Linked DNA regions of Coturnix japonica. The protein of the gene in region 2 purifies or fractionates together with the protein of the main gene of each other region. This does not show direct contact. Links are inferred from orthologs where the notes say so. Each region holds a gene or a part of one and is shown on either strand. Other genes may lie near its edges.

Region 1 (4,116 bases), on a different chromosome or scaffold from region 2:
CAACACTGAGGTTACCTGAGGTAGGTGGGAGGTTCTGTGCTGATAGACACTGCCTTGTATTTCTCATCATTTCCATCCAAGATCTCTTCCACTTCAGAGGCCTTTAACAGTGTCACACTGGTGGCTAATGTTGTATATCCATGATCTGTTACCAGGAAAGATGCTAATAGTTAACATGAAAAAGCATTACATAGCATATGGCATAAACAAGCTGAACAGTGAAAAGTGGAGTCAGTGCAGGTGGGACTAGCAAAAAACACATCATTAAAATAGTAAATAGTAGATAAGCTTATAAGTAATAAGGGGGAAAAAAAAAATCCTACATTAAATAGCCCCACACTATCACATCATTTTGCTCTGCACAACTACAGTCTGCCACAATGATGTAAAATCTTTTCCACAGTCCAGAAAACTATAAATCCTCAGTGGACTTAATAGTGGAAATGGAGATATAACACTCAATGGAAAAGCGAGTGGCTGAGCAGACACATCAGATACTAATGAAAGCTAAGCCAGGGAGTACAAACTCTTAAGACCTGGAAAAAGGGAAGAACCACTGGACAGATCTTACTGAATTGCACAGACCATTAATGTTCTGAGAAAGAAAAGTTCAGCATGTGATGAGGATGCACAATGGGATGACCACAGGGAGAGATCAGAGGATGAGATGTTATTATATGCTGTAATAACGCCAAAGGTCATGGCAGAGATTATTCCTGTAGCACAGCTAAGCATAACACACAAATCAGACTTACATCTTCTTGGACTGTGAGACCGCTGATTTTCTGTTGGGAAAGAAAGAAATCAGCAACAGGTCAGCAGGATATTAGAGGAAGGAGGCTTAAGTATAGAATGAACCACGTATCTTTATTATGCCTTAGCCTGAGGAACACATGACAAGTTGCACTGCTAATGAATATAAGTTCTTAATATTAGTCTCCCATCAAAAATAATACCAAGGTGGCTGCATTCTCACTGTGGTGGTAACATCAGTAGAAACACACTGCAAATTCTGGGAGTCATAAACATATAAAGAACATGAGCATCCTTTCAATGTGTTAAGGGACAGAACCACCCCTCTTTGCTACTAGAAATCTCTTCTGGAATATGGTATTTAACTTGAGGTGTGTCTTTTGCATTGTGATAAATGCAGCCAACTCCAGGACAGCCACATTTTGCAGAACGCTGTCACAAAGCCCTAAAGGTACACAAGCTTCTGAGCCTACAGAGACAGTTCTTCAAGGCAGACATTTAGACTGGGAGCATTTCCTCATCTTCTTACCATGTGAAGATGCCACTATCTTCTTCCTTTCTTCTACTGTGGCTAATCGTCTCCAGAGCGAGGGATACCTCTTGTACAGAGAGCCCCGGAACATACGCAGGTAATTCCCCACCTATAAGAAGAAAAGCAAAGATGTGACCTGGAAACGTATTCCATTTAAAGAAACGAATTATCAAAAACTGAAACAAATTTTCAATAATGAAACAATAACAGTGACCTCATAAATAACCTCCTAAGAGGATTTTTTTTGTTGCTTTTCACAATTCACTGTATCAGGTTTGGCATCATAAAGCACAATTTTTGGCACAATACATAGCTCTTATCAGCACTTATTTCACTAGTTTGCTAAGAAACTCCAGCTCATTGACAGAAATCAGTTTTTGTTTATTTTTGGGACTTTGCTACATCAGCACAGTGTCCAGGAAGGATTTAATGGAGCTGCACACCCAGCTCTCCAGCAGCATCCCTTTCACCAGACACCGCTGGGATCACAGAATCACAGAATGACCCGGGGTTGGAAGGGACCTCAAGGATCATGTAGTTCCAACCCCCTGCCTGGCAGGGCCACCAAACATACACCTTTACTAGATCAGGTTGCCCAGGGCCCCGTCCAGCCTGGCCTTGAACACCTCCAAGGACGGGGCATCCACAACCTCCCTGGGCAGCCTGTTCCAGGGCCTAACCACTCTCCTAGTGAAGAACTTCCCCCTAACATCCAACCTAAATCTTCCCTCTTTCAACTTAAAACCATTTCCCCATGTCCTGCTATTGTCAGGACTGCTTTCCAAGAGTGGATGGCTCAGACACACACAGCGCTGCCTTGTGCTCTACTTTAAGCCCTTGGAACACGCAGGATGCGATCTGTGCCTCTCCAAACCCGCTGACCAGCAGCACAGCAGCTCTGCTCTTCTCAGCACAATGCAACACAGCAGTGCAGGCTCCAGCAGGGTTCGCTGGACAACACAATGAATTCTAGGCTCTGCGACCAGGTTTTTTAACTGCTGCTGTACTTGTAGAGTGTGTATAGTTCACAAAGGGGCTCACATTCCCTGTCACACAGGCCTTATTTTGACCTTAACATCTTTCAGACCATTTTTAATTGTAACTTTATAGCGGGGGGCTGGAAGGCGATCCCTCCTCCTCCACGTACCCTGTGTGGCACATATAGCCAGATAACCTGCAGTTATGGCTCCTTTTAACAGCACAATCCCCACAGTATCACAGCACCAAAGCCCTTCTGCTCCCACACAGCGCTGCCCACCCCACAGCCTCGCCTCGCCGCCTCCCCCCCTCCCCGGGCCGCCGCCATTGTCCGTACCTCGGAGCCGATCATATAGAATTCTCCGTCCTCCTCCAGCTGGAACTTAACGGGCTTCTGCCCGAAGGTTTTGCTCAGCGCCATCATCATCATCGCTGCGGCCCGGCGGGATCCGGCGGCGCTGAGGGAACCGGGGCGCAGCGACAACGGCAGCGCCTCGGCCTACTCCGCTGCTGCTCTGCGCATGCGCAGGGCACCGCCCCGCCCGCTCGTTCCCGCCCACCCGGCGCTGAAGTGAGTCGGGCGGCGGGTAGAAAAGAGGCGCTTTATTGGTACATCGATACGTATATACACAGTATATATAGATATAGATATAAAAAGAGTTGATACGCGTCGTACAAAAGTTGACGCCCACGGGTTTGGTTCTGTACCCGGGAGCACCGTGCGGATGGGCAGTGTCCAGCACTGGGATGGGGCAGGCTGAGGGGCTGCGGCCTCACAGCGCGGGGGGTGATGGCGGCGGGTCGGTGTTATGGGGGGGGTCCCGTTCCAAGGCCTGATGGCTTTGGGATGATAGAGCTACAACAGCCCGGCCACATTAAGGCTGCTCGTGTCTGTAAGGAATGTGGCAGATGCTTCTGTACAGGGACCAAAGCTGGGGCTGCTGCTGGAACGGGAGAGGAGCAAACTTTGTCACTTGTTGTGACACGTCTGTTGTGTCAGTCTGCGCCTGGAAGGAGCCAGGGATGGCAGCAGAGCCCTCAGTGTCTGCTGGAGGTCAGGGCTGGAAGGGAAAAGTAGGGGATGCTCCTTCATCGGAAGGAGTTGGAGGACGGTGTGCAGCTGAAGAAGTCCTGGCTGATCTGACGGGGGTAACCTTCCAGAACCTTCACCTGCACCGGGTCAAACTTCCAGTAGTCTCGGCCTCTCAGGAAATAGGCAAAACCTGTGGAGGAGAGAGGGAGGAGTAAGTGAGCCAGCCTTCACTCAGCTGTCTGCACTAGGTACTACTGAAAGCAGTTCAGCACTGCTGCCTGGGCTGAACTGCAGGCAGAGCTGCTGGGCTTGTCACTATTGGGAGTGGTAACAGCTGGGTCTGGTGGGAAGTAGCATCACCCTGAGCACGTGCCCCAGAGCAGGGCCTGTCCCTGCTGCACTGACCCAGCTCATCCTGAAAAGCAGCATCAATCTCCTGTGGGACGCCTCGCCAGTCAGCCATGGTCCGGGGGTAGATGTTGTCCACCTGGCGTGTGCGAGGGTTGAAGCGCCAGTAGTTGCCTCCACTGAAGATGTAAATCTTGTTCTTCTCTGTCCCCCATACCAGAGCTGCCTGCACGGGAGAAGCAGGGAGGCCCAGCTCTACAGTTGGTGTGGGACCAGAGACTCGTCTCTCGCCGTCATAAATCCAGTACTGAGAATCTGGTAAGGAGATGGAAAAGGGGAAACACATGTTCAGAAGTTCTTAGATGTCAGATAACTTGGCATGGAATTGCAGACTGGAGCTGGTGCCTGGGCAGAGCTCCCAGGGAAAGCTGTTCATGAATGCCCACCAAGGGAGTAAGGAATTCAGTTCTCC
Region 2 (3,679 bases):
GGACATCACCGGGCCGCTGACGGGGTTGGGCCGCGGTACATTCATGCCGACCTGCTGCATCTGGCTCACCGAACCCACCGCCGGGTTTACGAGCCCCGGGCGACCAGGGGGCAAACCATTGTTGATGTTGTTGACCCTGTAGAGCTGCTGCTGCTGCTGGGCGGCCTCTCTCTCGATCTGCCGAGCCGCTTCCACTGCGGCCGGTGGCGGCTGAGCAGGAGGTGGAGGCGCCGCAACCGGGTTTGTGGGTTTTCCTGTCGAAACAGTGGTGGGGGGCTGAGTTCTGGAGACGCTGGGAAAGCCGGCCGGTGACATACTTACAGGGGAAGGCTGGGGCTGGGGAGCAGGCTGCGGTGTCTGCGGCGTACTTGGCTGCTGTGTGGGGGTACCAGGCGTTGCTGAGGTAGGAGAAGGCAAACTTTGCTGAGGCACGTTTCGGGTGTTCATGGTCGCCATCCTTCTGCGCATGAGCTGGGCCTGCTGCAGGCGGTGCTGGATCTGCTGCTGCCGGAGCTTGTGTTTGATGTTGAGACAGAATGGCACGGGGCATTTGTTCTCTTGGCAGTGTTTGGCGTGGTAGCAGCAAAGAGCTATGAGCTGTTTGCACACCGGGCAGCCGCCGTTGGTCTTGCGCTTGCAGCCCTTGGTGTGTTGGACAACCCGCTTCATCTTCTGGCAGGATGGCAGCGAGCAGTTTGCGTTGCGGCACTGACAGGCGTGGACGAGGGACTGAATGCAGCGCTGGATGCTCAGCCGGCGCGACTCCTGGGGGCTCTTTGACTGCTGCTCTCCTTGGCTGTTGCTCTCATCATCCAGGCCCAGGCCCCACTTAACCATCTTGTGGTCATGGCTCTTAGTGTTGTAGCAGTTAATGCAGAGGTCGTAGTCCTGAAAGCAAAGAAAATGCAGAGCTCAGTTGCCTGTGAAGTGCTACCTGCGGCACTAGGAGGGAGGAGAAACATGAACCCGATGTGGAAGCACATCTGGGTTACAGTGGGCACAAACATGGCCCAACAGAAGCAAGACAGTCCCAGGCTCCACTGAGGGCAAGAATGCAATCAGGCACCGCTTCTGTGCCGTCGCTTCCATACATTGCAGGGTTTGGTCTGCTGGGTTTTTTCCTTCCTTTTTGATGATGGTAAATTTTACATCTCTGGAATGGCTACCAGACAAGTTACACAAGGAGAGCCAAAACAGTGCAAACAGCTCTACCCTAAGTGCTAAGAACCAAGGATCTGCTCTCCATTTAACTATCCTTGGTGTAATTACTGACTAACAATTAATTCCTGACCTGCAATGTGTTTTTTAATCTCTAAGACAGCCCTTGAAGCAAGTGCCAGTTTCATGGCAAGACGGACACTTAGCTAAAAACCTCCTCAAACACCCCATTCTCACTGCCCTGAGTGCTTTATTTGACTGCTAGAGGAAGACAATTCCCCTCACACAGAAGCAGCCAGAAGAAACCTAATGGCCACACTTCCTTTCACCACTTAATTCCAGCCTTGCCTCAAGAAGCCCTCTTCAGTGCTCCCCTCGGAGGGATTAATTAAGACTCTTCAACCACAAGCCTGGCAATAACTTCCAGTGTGAGAACGAGGCTGCATTTACTCAACAGTTTTTAGTTCAGCTGCAGCCAGAGGTCACCAACAGCCCCATGGAGGAGACCTGCCCCTCACGTCCACCCGTGTGACTCCACGTGTAATTGCTCTCTAATGCAGTTCAGTAGAAGTGATCTCCACTGCAATAGGGCCAGACATCAGAAGTACAGAGCCAGGTTAGGAAGCAATTATTTGGGTTGATCCAAAGGGCAAGAAACCTCTAAAGCTGGGCTGAATTGGAAGCCCCTTTTCCCAGCTGCACAGCAGCCTGAGCATGTGCCTGGCTGCACTCAATACAAAGCCAAGCACCACATACAACATGGAGCCAACTGCTCCCGTGGTCATCCATTCAACATGGATACGCCAGTCCTGCAGATTCAGGTTACTCTGACAGTGTCAGACCCTGTCAGTCAGCCCTGAAATTCTGTCTTGATAAGCTGAAGCCCGGATGTGCAGAGGAGCTTGATGACAAGGGCAGCAATTCAGCTGTAACCATTCTAGGACACGGCAGCTTCCCATCCAGAAAAACAAAGGCACCTACTCTAGAAGAGATTGATCCACAGTGGCAGTTGCCTTCCCTTAAAGCTTCACATTGCTAACACCAGAACAGGCTTAATTTTGAGGAGACTCGGGTGAGAAGCCATCCCAGGTGACCTACACATACCTCACAGACAGTGCAATGCCACCTGGTCTCCACGTGATGCTTGCACTCATTGCACGTATAAACAAAGCGGTCCTGCCCCTGGGTGTGGAGCTCCACCAGCATGCAGAGCGTGGACCACTTGGATCGGCGCAGCGAGGAGAACTCCCAGTGCTTATCTCTGGCTAAGGTGAGGAAGGCATCCCGGCCATCCATCAGATCGCAGCTCAGCAGCGGGTCGGGGTCCACAATGGGGGGCAGCGTGTTAATGACAGGCCCAGCGTGTAAATGGATCACAAAAAAGACCTGCAGATAAATGGGAAGAGGGGCAATAAATCAACGACGTCAGGTTATCTCACAGGAAAAGCTCATGTTCTGTTGCAGAAACACAACGCTGCAACCATTATCTAATGGACACCATTATAGCAATCTCTCCAATATGTTGTTACACGACTACAAGAAACCTTCAGCGTAACCAAAAGCTTTAGCTCCTCCTGGTTTCCAGTTCTACCACCCCACCTCCATCTACAGGAACCAGCTTCCCCTGCACTCTGCACGTTCTGACGGTACCTCTTTATGCTTCTCCATGGTGGCGTACAGCTTCTGAGACAGGTCGTTGGACACGTTTGGCATGCTGGGTTTCTTCTTGTTCGCTCTGCTGATGCTACTCTTATTCTTGTTGGTTTTTTTGTTGTTCTTTTTCTTGGCGTTTTTGCTGTCACCCTGACTTCCCTGCAAGAAACACACGGGGAAGACGTTCAGCTTTACAGAGCTCTCTCCTGTTCACTGCAGCACAAAGTGAGGTGCAGCTGCTGTCAGTAATGCAGCTTCATTCCAGTGCCTGCAGATGAACCACACTGTGCTAAATACATCCCATCTTCCAGGACAGAAATCAAAAGCCAACCCAGCACGAAACAGATTTCAAATGTGGTTTAAAAATAGCCCAGGTTTTTACTTCTTTTTATGCACAGACATACATTCAGTTGTGTCTTCTCCCCGCGCTTCAGCTCCACTGCCTGTCCTTGCAAGTCTTACACAGAATAAAATGTGTTAAAAATAAAACAGACTTTGACAGACCCTGTGAGTGCAGCCGTTTGCTTTGCTGTGCACTCAGGACTTGACACTCAAGTTCTAATTCATTAATTTCAATTCGACAAACTGAGAGTTAATGCACGGAAAAGGCAGGATGTGAAACCACCAGAACATGTCTCACCCCACCCTGAAGATGTGCTGCTGCATCAGCAACGCCAAAAAAACCCCCAAATACCAAACACTCAATGCCTTCACTTGTGTGTAAGTCACAGCACAGGCCACAGTGAACACAGACTGAATGCTAAATATAAGCAGGGTGAAAAATAGCAGATGGTGCTGTTTGGGTGACCTGGGAAAACAGAGATTGATGTGCCTGAAAAACAAAATAGAAATTAAAGAAAGAAGCCTC
Region 3 (4,057 bases), on a different chromosome or scaffold from region 2:
ACTACCCTAAAGAACAAACACAAGTCACCACTGCTCTTAATGTAATTCAAGATTCAAGTCTAACCATTAATGTCATTAAGCCTATAAAACAGAAACTAGATAATAGGTCAATGTCATTTAAATTGTATGACAACACATACATTCCATAAAGAAGAAAAAAATTGCCAGTCTAGGGCACATCTTACTTGAATTGAGAAGAATCCACTGTCATCCATGTTTACAGAAGGCTGCTGCTCAGCATATGAGGTTGGAGGAAGGAAAGTTAAAAGTTGTGTCAGCATAAAAGTTCAGAAAGAATTTCACTTAAAAATAATAATAATAATAATATGACTGTACATACATAAAACAACAATGAAATATATTTTACTCTGTATGCTGATTACAACACCAACATTTGCATTTTTGTTAATAACTCAAACTTTTAAGCTGCAAATACTTACTGCTTAAAGGACAGACATGTACAGGGAATTCTGTTACCGTCTCTACCCCTGGCTTACTAAAACAAACAGTCAATCTCTTAGTCTTCTCCTTGCCATGCCTAACCATCTTACCCTTAAGATGAGGAGATAAGGTAACACGGCCCCCTGTAGAAGCACTATAAAGCTGTACAAATAACACTAAAAACCTCAAACCTGAAATGCCTGAATGAAAATATCAGCAAACTTCCAAAACATCAGCACTAGAAAATGAATCTTCTGTAATTATGCAGGCATAGCAGGCCTTTGCTATACAATATTAGATTTTAAGAAGACATCATGCAACGTCAAGTTAAGATTTTACCTGTAAAAATGTTCTATATTCTTCGCTAGACACTCCTCCCTCTGCCATTCTCATTCTTTCTTCCTCATCCAACTGCTGTGCAATGGAGGATAGCTCAACCGGACTGAAGTACTCTCCTTGTAGCAAATTATTCAGACAGTGTTGAGCACATAATGAGCCTTCTTGCTAATATTAGGAAAGGAAAAAAACACCACTATGTCAAAAGCAATAACATATAGATGTTAATGACGCACTCTGCAGAAACATTCAATGATTTCATTCCAGCCCCCACTTCCCAGAATACTGTATTTTTTTCCATTTTTATTACAGTGTGAGCTGTAGAATACATTCCTATGTTCCATTAATCTGACGATGGAAAAGAAAACAAACATATTTCCTGGAAGAAAATAAATTCTAAGTGAAAATGTTTTGGGAAACAGGGTAAAAATCACCTACAGTTTGTCCAAGTCACACAAGTACTTTGCAACCATCAGGAGAATCGATTCCGCTCCCTTCAAATCATCACTGTATGAAATAAGAAACTCATTCTTTTCTTTTTTAAATCTCTAATTCCCATTAACAAATATTCTCCACAAGGGACACTCTTTTTCTTTGTTAAACTTGTGTTCCCTATGAGGTTTGGGAAATATCTGCTTTCCACATGTGGCTAAAGAAAAACAGAGCATTGAGACTTTGCAAAAAGAGGAATTACAGTTTCCCATGAAAAACAATCCCTCTCTAAAAAATAACAGGCGAGTTAGTTAACCTACGAGTGCAAGACAAGTTTAACATCAGCTATAAAAAGCAGCTTTCCTCTTTGCATCAATGCTTGTTTATATTAACATTAAGAATGTGCATTAGGACAAAGGTGTTGGAAACAAAACAAAATTGTCAAAGAATTAAAACTCCACAGAAAGTAAAGAATACAAGAGTGTGCCTTGTAAGAATGTTATTTAAATGTCCACTCTTCCATCATACAAGTCAGGTGCACAAATCTCCCTTGGTCTCCCTCACAGCAGGATCCCTGAAACTTTATAGATTACAATCCCTTCTGAAGGTACCACCACTCAACTGAATATTGAGTTCAAGCTGGACAGGCTGTACAGCCTAAGTACAATGGAATTCAAAAGTCTCATCTTTCACAGCTTCTCCAGCTTGTGTTTATCCCACAAAAAGAAACTCCAGACTAAACAGCAACTCCTGCCCTGCTGGAAGCACGTTCCTGCTGCTGGCCCCATGACACAGCTGAGACCTGCCAATGGTCACAGATTGTTTCCACCAGAAGCATATGAAATAATTAGGAACAAATCAAGCCTGGGATAACTTTGTTAAAATGAGTCATGTTACAAGTTTAGGCTCTAATTTCTTTGAAAGGGCCCTTCTGTACTGATGTAATAACTTATTAAAAGCAACAACAAAAACCCACTGAACTGTACAGCTAACTCTATTTATTTGTTAACTAAACCAACTACTACGCATAAGAACAACGGACAGAAACCAGTATCACCTAAACAGATCCCACAAAACAATACAAAAATATCAGCAAAGCTGCAGAGTGACCGGCAAAGCAGATAAAGGGCACTGTAGTGTAACAACAGAGGTCGCAGGCAGCTGCTACGTGTGAGCCCTGACACAGCACAGCAGTTTCCAGAAGCATTTGTTCTCCCAACAGGAAGCTCAGCTCAGCTCAGCACTCGATGCCGTCCCTCACAGCGCCGCACACCCACAGCGGGCAGATTTGGTGTCCGAGCTCACGGAACCCGCCCCACGTACCGCTGCTCGCCTTCCTGCTCGGCCACAGACGAGAAGCAGCCCCGCCGGAGATGGGGCAGGGGAACAGGGCAGCCCCAGAGCAGCGCAAGGCCGGGAGATACAACTGCCGCCTCCCCAGAGCGCAGCCCCGCTCCCGCCCCACAACACCTCACTCACCCGCTCGTGGAAGATCGACTCCATGTTTATTATCAACGGCACGGCCTCCGCCTCACATGACCCGCGCAGCCAATCGCGGCTCGCCTCGCCGTGCCGCAGCAGCGCCCCCTGGCGGCGGGAGGTCCGGGCAGCTCGGCAGCACGACGCGCTTGCGCAGTTCTGGAGCAGCCGGAAACGTGCGGTCCTTCCTTCCGTGTGGCGGTGAGTTAATAAAGCGCCATGTGTGAGGTACCGCCTCGGTTAGCTCATAAACCACCTATAAACGCATTAATTCCACACCACACAGACTAAGAAAAAAGGAAATTATTTTTGCATAGTTTTTTTTTTTTTTTCTTTATTACATGACGTCTTTTCTCCCCCAACTCCAGAGCGGAACCTCTGGGGGCAGATATTTCTCAATTCCATGGGCTTCACAGAATCAAAACAGCTTTATAATAGATCACCTTCCATAAAGTAACAATAGGAATTAAAGTAGCAGTGACAAACTGTAGGTGTTCTATTCTGTAGCTTGGTAGGGTCTCAGGAGAAAAAACATAACCATATTGTTTCAATGCATGAGATCAGGTGATGAACAGAGCAGAAAGTTTCCCCCATTCATTAGCAGCCTTTATTTCCAGGTCTTTTCTTCGCCGGGTCTCAGCTCCCTGTGTGGAAAGAAAACAAAGGGTGGAGGCTAAAATTAGGATAAATGGTGTGGGATAATTAACAAGCATTTAAAATGATTCTAGAATCACAGAATCACACAGAATCACAGGATGACCCGGGTTGGAAGGGACCTCAAGGATCATGTAGTTCCAACCCCCCTGCCTGGCAGGGCCACCAAACATACACATTTACTAGATCAGGTTGCCCAGGGCCCCATCCAACCTGGTCTTGAACACCTCCAAGGACGGGGCATCCACAACCTCCCTGGGCAGCCTGTTCCAGGGCCTAACCACTCTCCTAGTGAAGAACTTCCCCCTAACATCCAACCTAAATCTTCCCTCTTTTAACTTAAAACCATTTCCCCATGTCCTGCTATTATCAGCCTTTTCGAAGAGTTTACTCCCCTCCTGGGAGTAAGTTCCCTTCAGGTACTGAAAGGCTGCAATGAGGTCACCCCGCAACCTTCTCTTCTCCAGGCTGAACAAACCCAACTCCCTCAGCCTGTCCTCATAGGGGAGGTGCTTCAGCCCCCGCCCTCCTAAACTTTTACTTTACGACCCAAAGCTTCAAAGGATTGAGTCCTACCATTAATTATAAATAAACCTCTGCTGAGTTAACAGATGGTGTTTCTTACATGAGACCCCAAAGGCAAAAATCTAACTCCTTCCAATCCAAAAATCCATTGCTTTAGTGGGAAGACAAATAGAGGCGAAAGTGGAAAGCG

Evidence for each region. Proteins that work in one complex are often made in the same cells at the same time.
Region 1: the proteins of CREBBP (region 2) and SMARCB1 fractionate together in Homo sapiens (co-fractionation; 3 studies listed by BioGRID, with this or other methods). This does not show direct contact. The link is inferred for Coturnix japonica from reciprocal best matches to the Homo sapiens genes CREBBP and SMARCB1.
Region 3: the proteins of CREBBP (region 2) and ATXN3 purify together in Homo sapiens (affinity purification with western blotting; 3 studies listed by BioGRID). This does not show direct contact. The link is inferred for Coturnix japonica from reciprocal best matches to the Homo sapiens genes CREBBP and ATXN3.

Annotation. Positions count from the first base shown.
Region 1 is NC_029530.1:7,048,747-7,052,862, reverse strand, and holds the start of SMARCB1 (SWI/SNF-related matrix-associated actin-dependent regulator of chromatin subfamily B member 1), read right to left. Parts: upstream 2,801-4,116; 5' UTR 2,694-2,800; coding exon 2,601-2,693; intron 1,395-2,600; coding exon 1,283-1,394; intron 786-1,282; coding exon 756-785; intron 146-755; coding exon 16-145; intron 1-15. Other genes in the region: MMP11 (stromelysin-3), read right to left, coding at 3,353-3,486, 3,702-3,959.
Region 2 is NC_029529.1:11,012,136-11,015,814, forward strand, and holds part of CREBBP (CREB-binding protein), read right to left. Parts: intron 2,971-3,679; coding exon 2,809-2,970; intron 2,545-2,808; coding exon 2,263-2,544; intron 889-2,262; coding exon 1-888. UniProt on the Homo sapiens protein: Acetylates histones, giving a specific tag for transcriptional activation. Mediates acetylation of histone H3 at 'Lys-18' and 'Lys-27' (H3K18ac and H3K27ac, respectively).
Region 3 is NC_029520.1:40,426,448-40,430,504, forward strand, and holds the start of ATXN3 (ataxin-3), read right to left. Parts: upstream 2,801-4,057; 5' UTR 2,713-2,800; coding exon 2,689-2,712; intron 2,554-2,688; exon of another isoform or gene 2,533-2,553; intron 946-2,532; coding exon 781-945; intron 231-780; coding exon 186-230; intron 1-185. Other genes in the region: NDUFB1 (NADH dehydrogenase [ubiquinone] 1 beta subcomplex subunit 1), read right to left, coding at 3,296-3,332. UniProt on the Homo sapiens protein: Deubiquitinating enzyme involved in protein homeostasis maintenance, transcription, cytoskeleton regulation, myogenesis and degradation of misfolded chaperone substrates.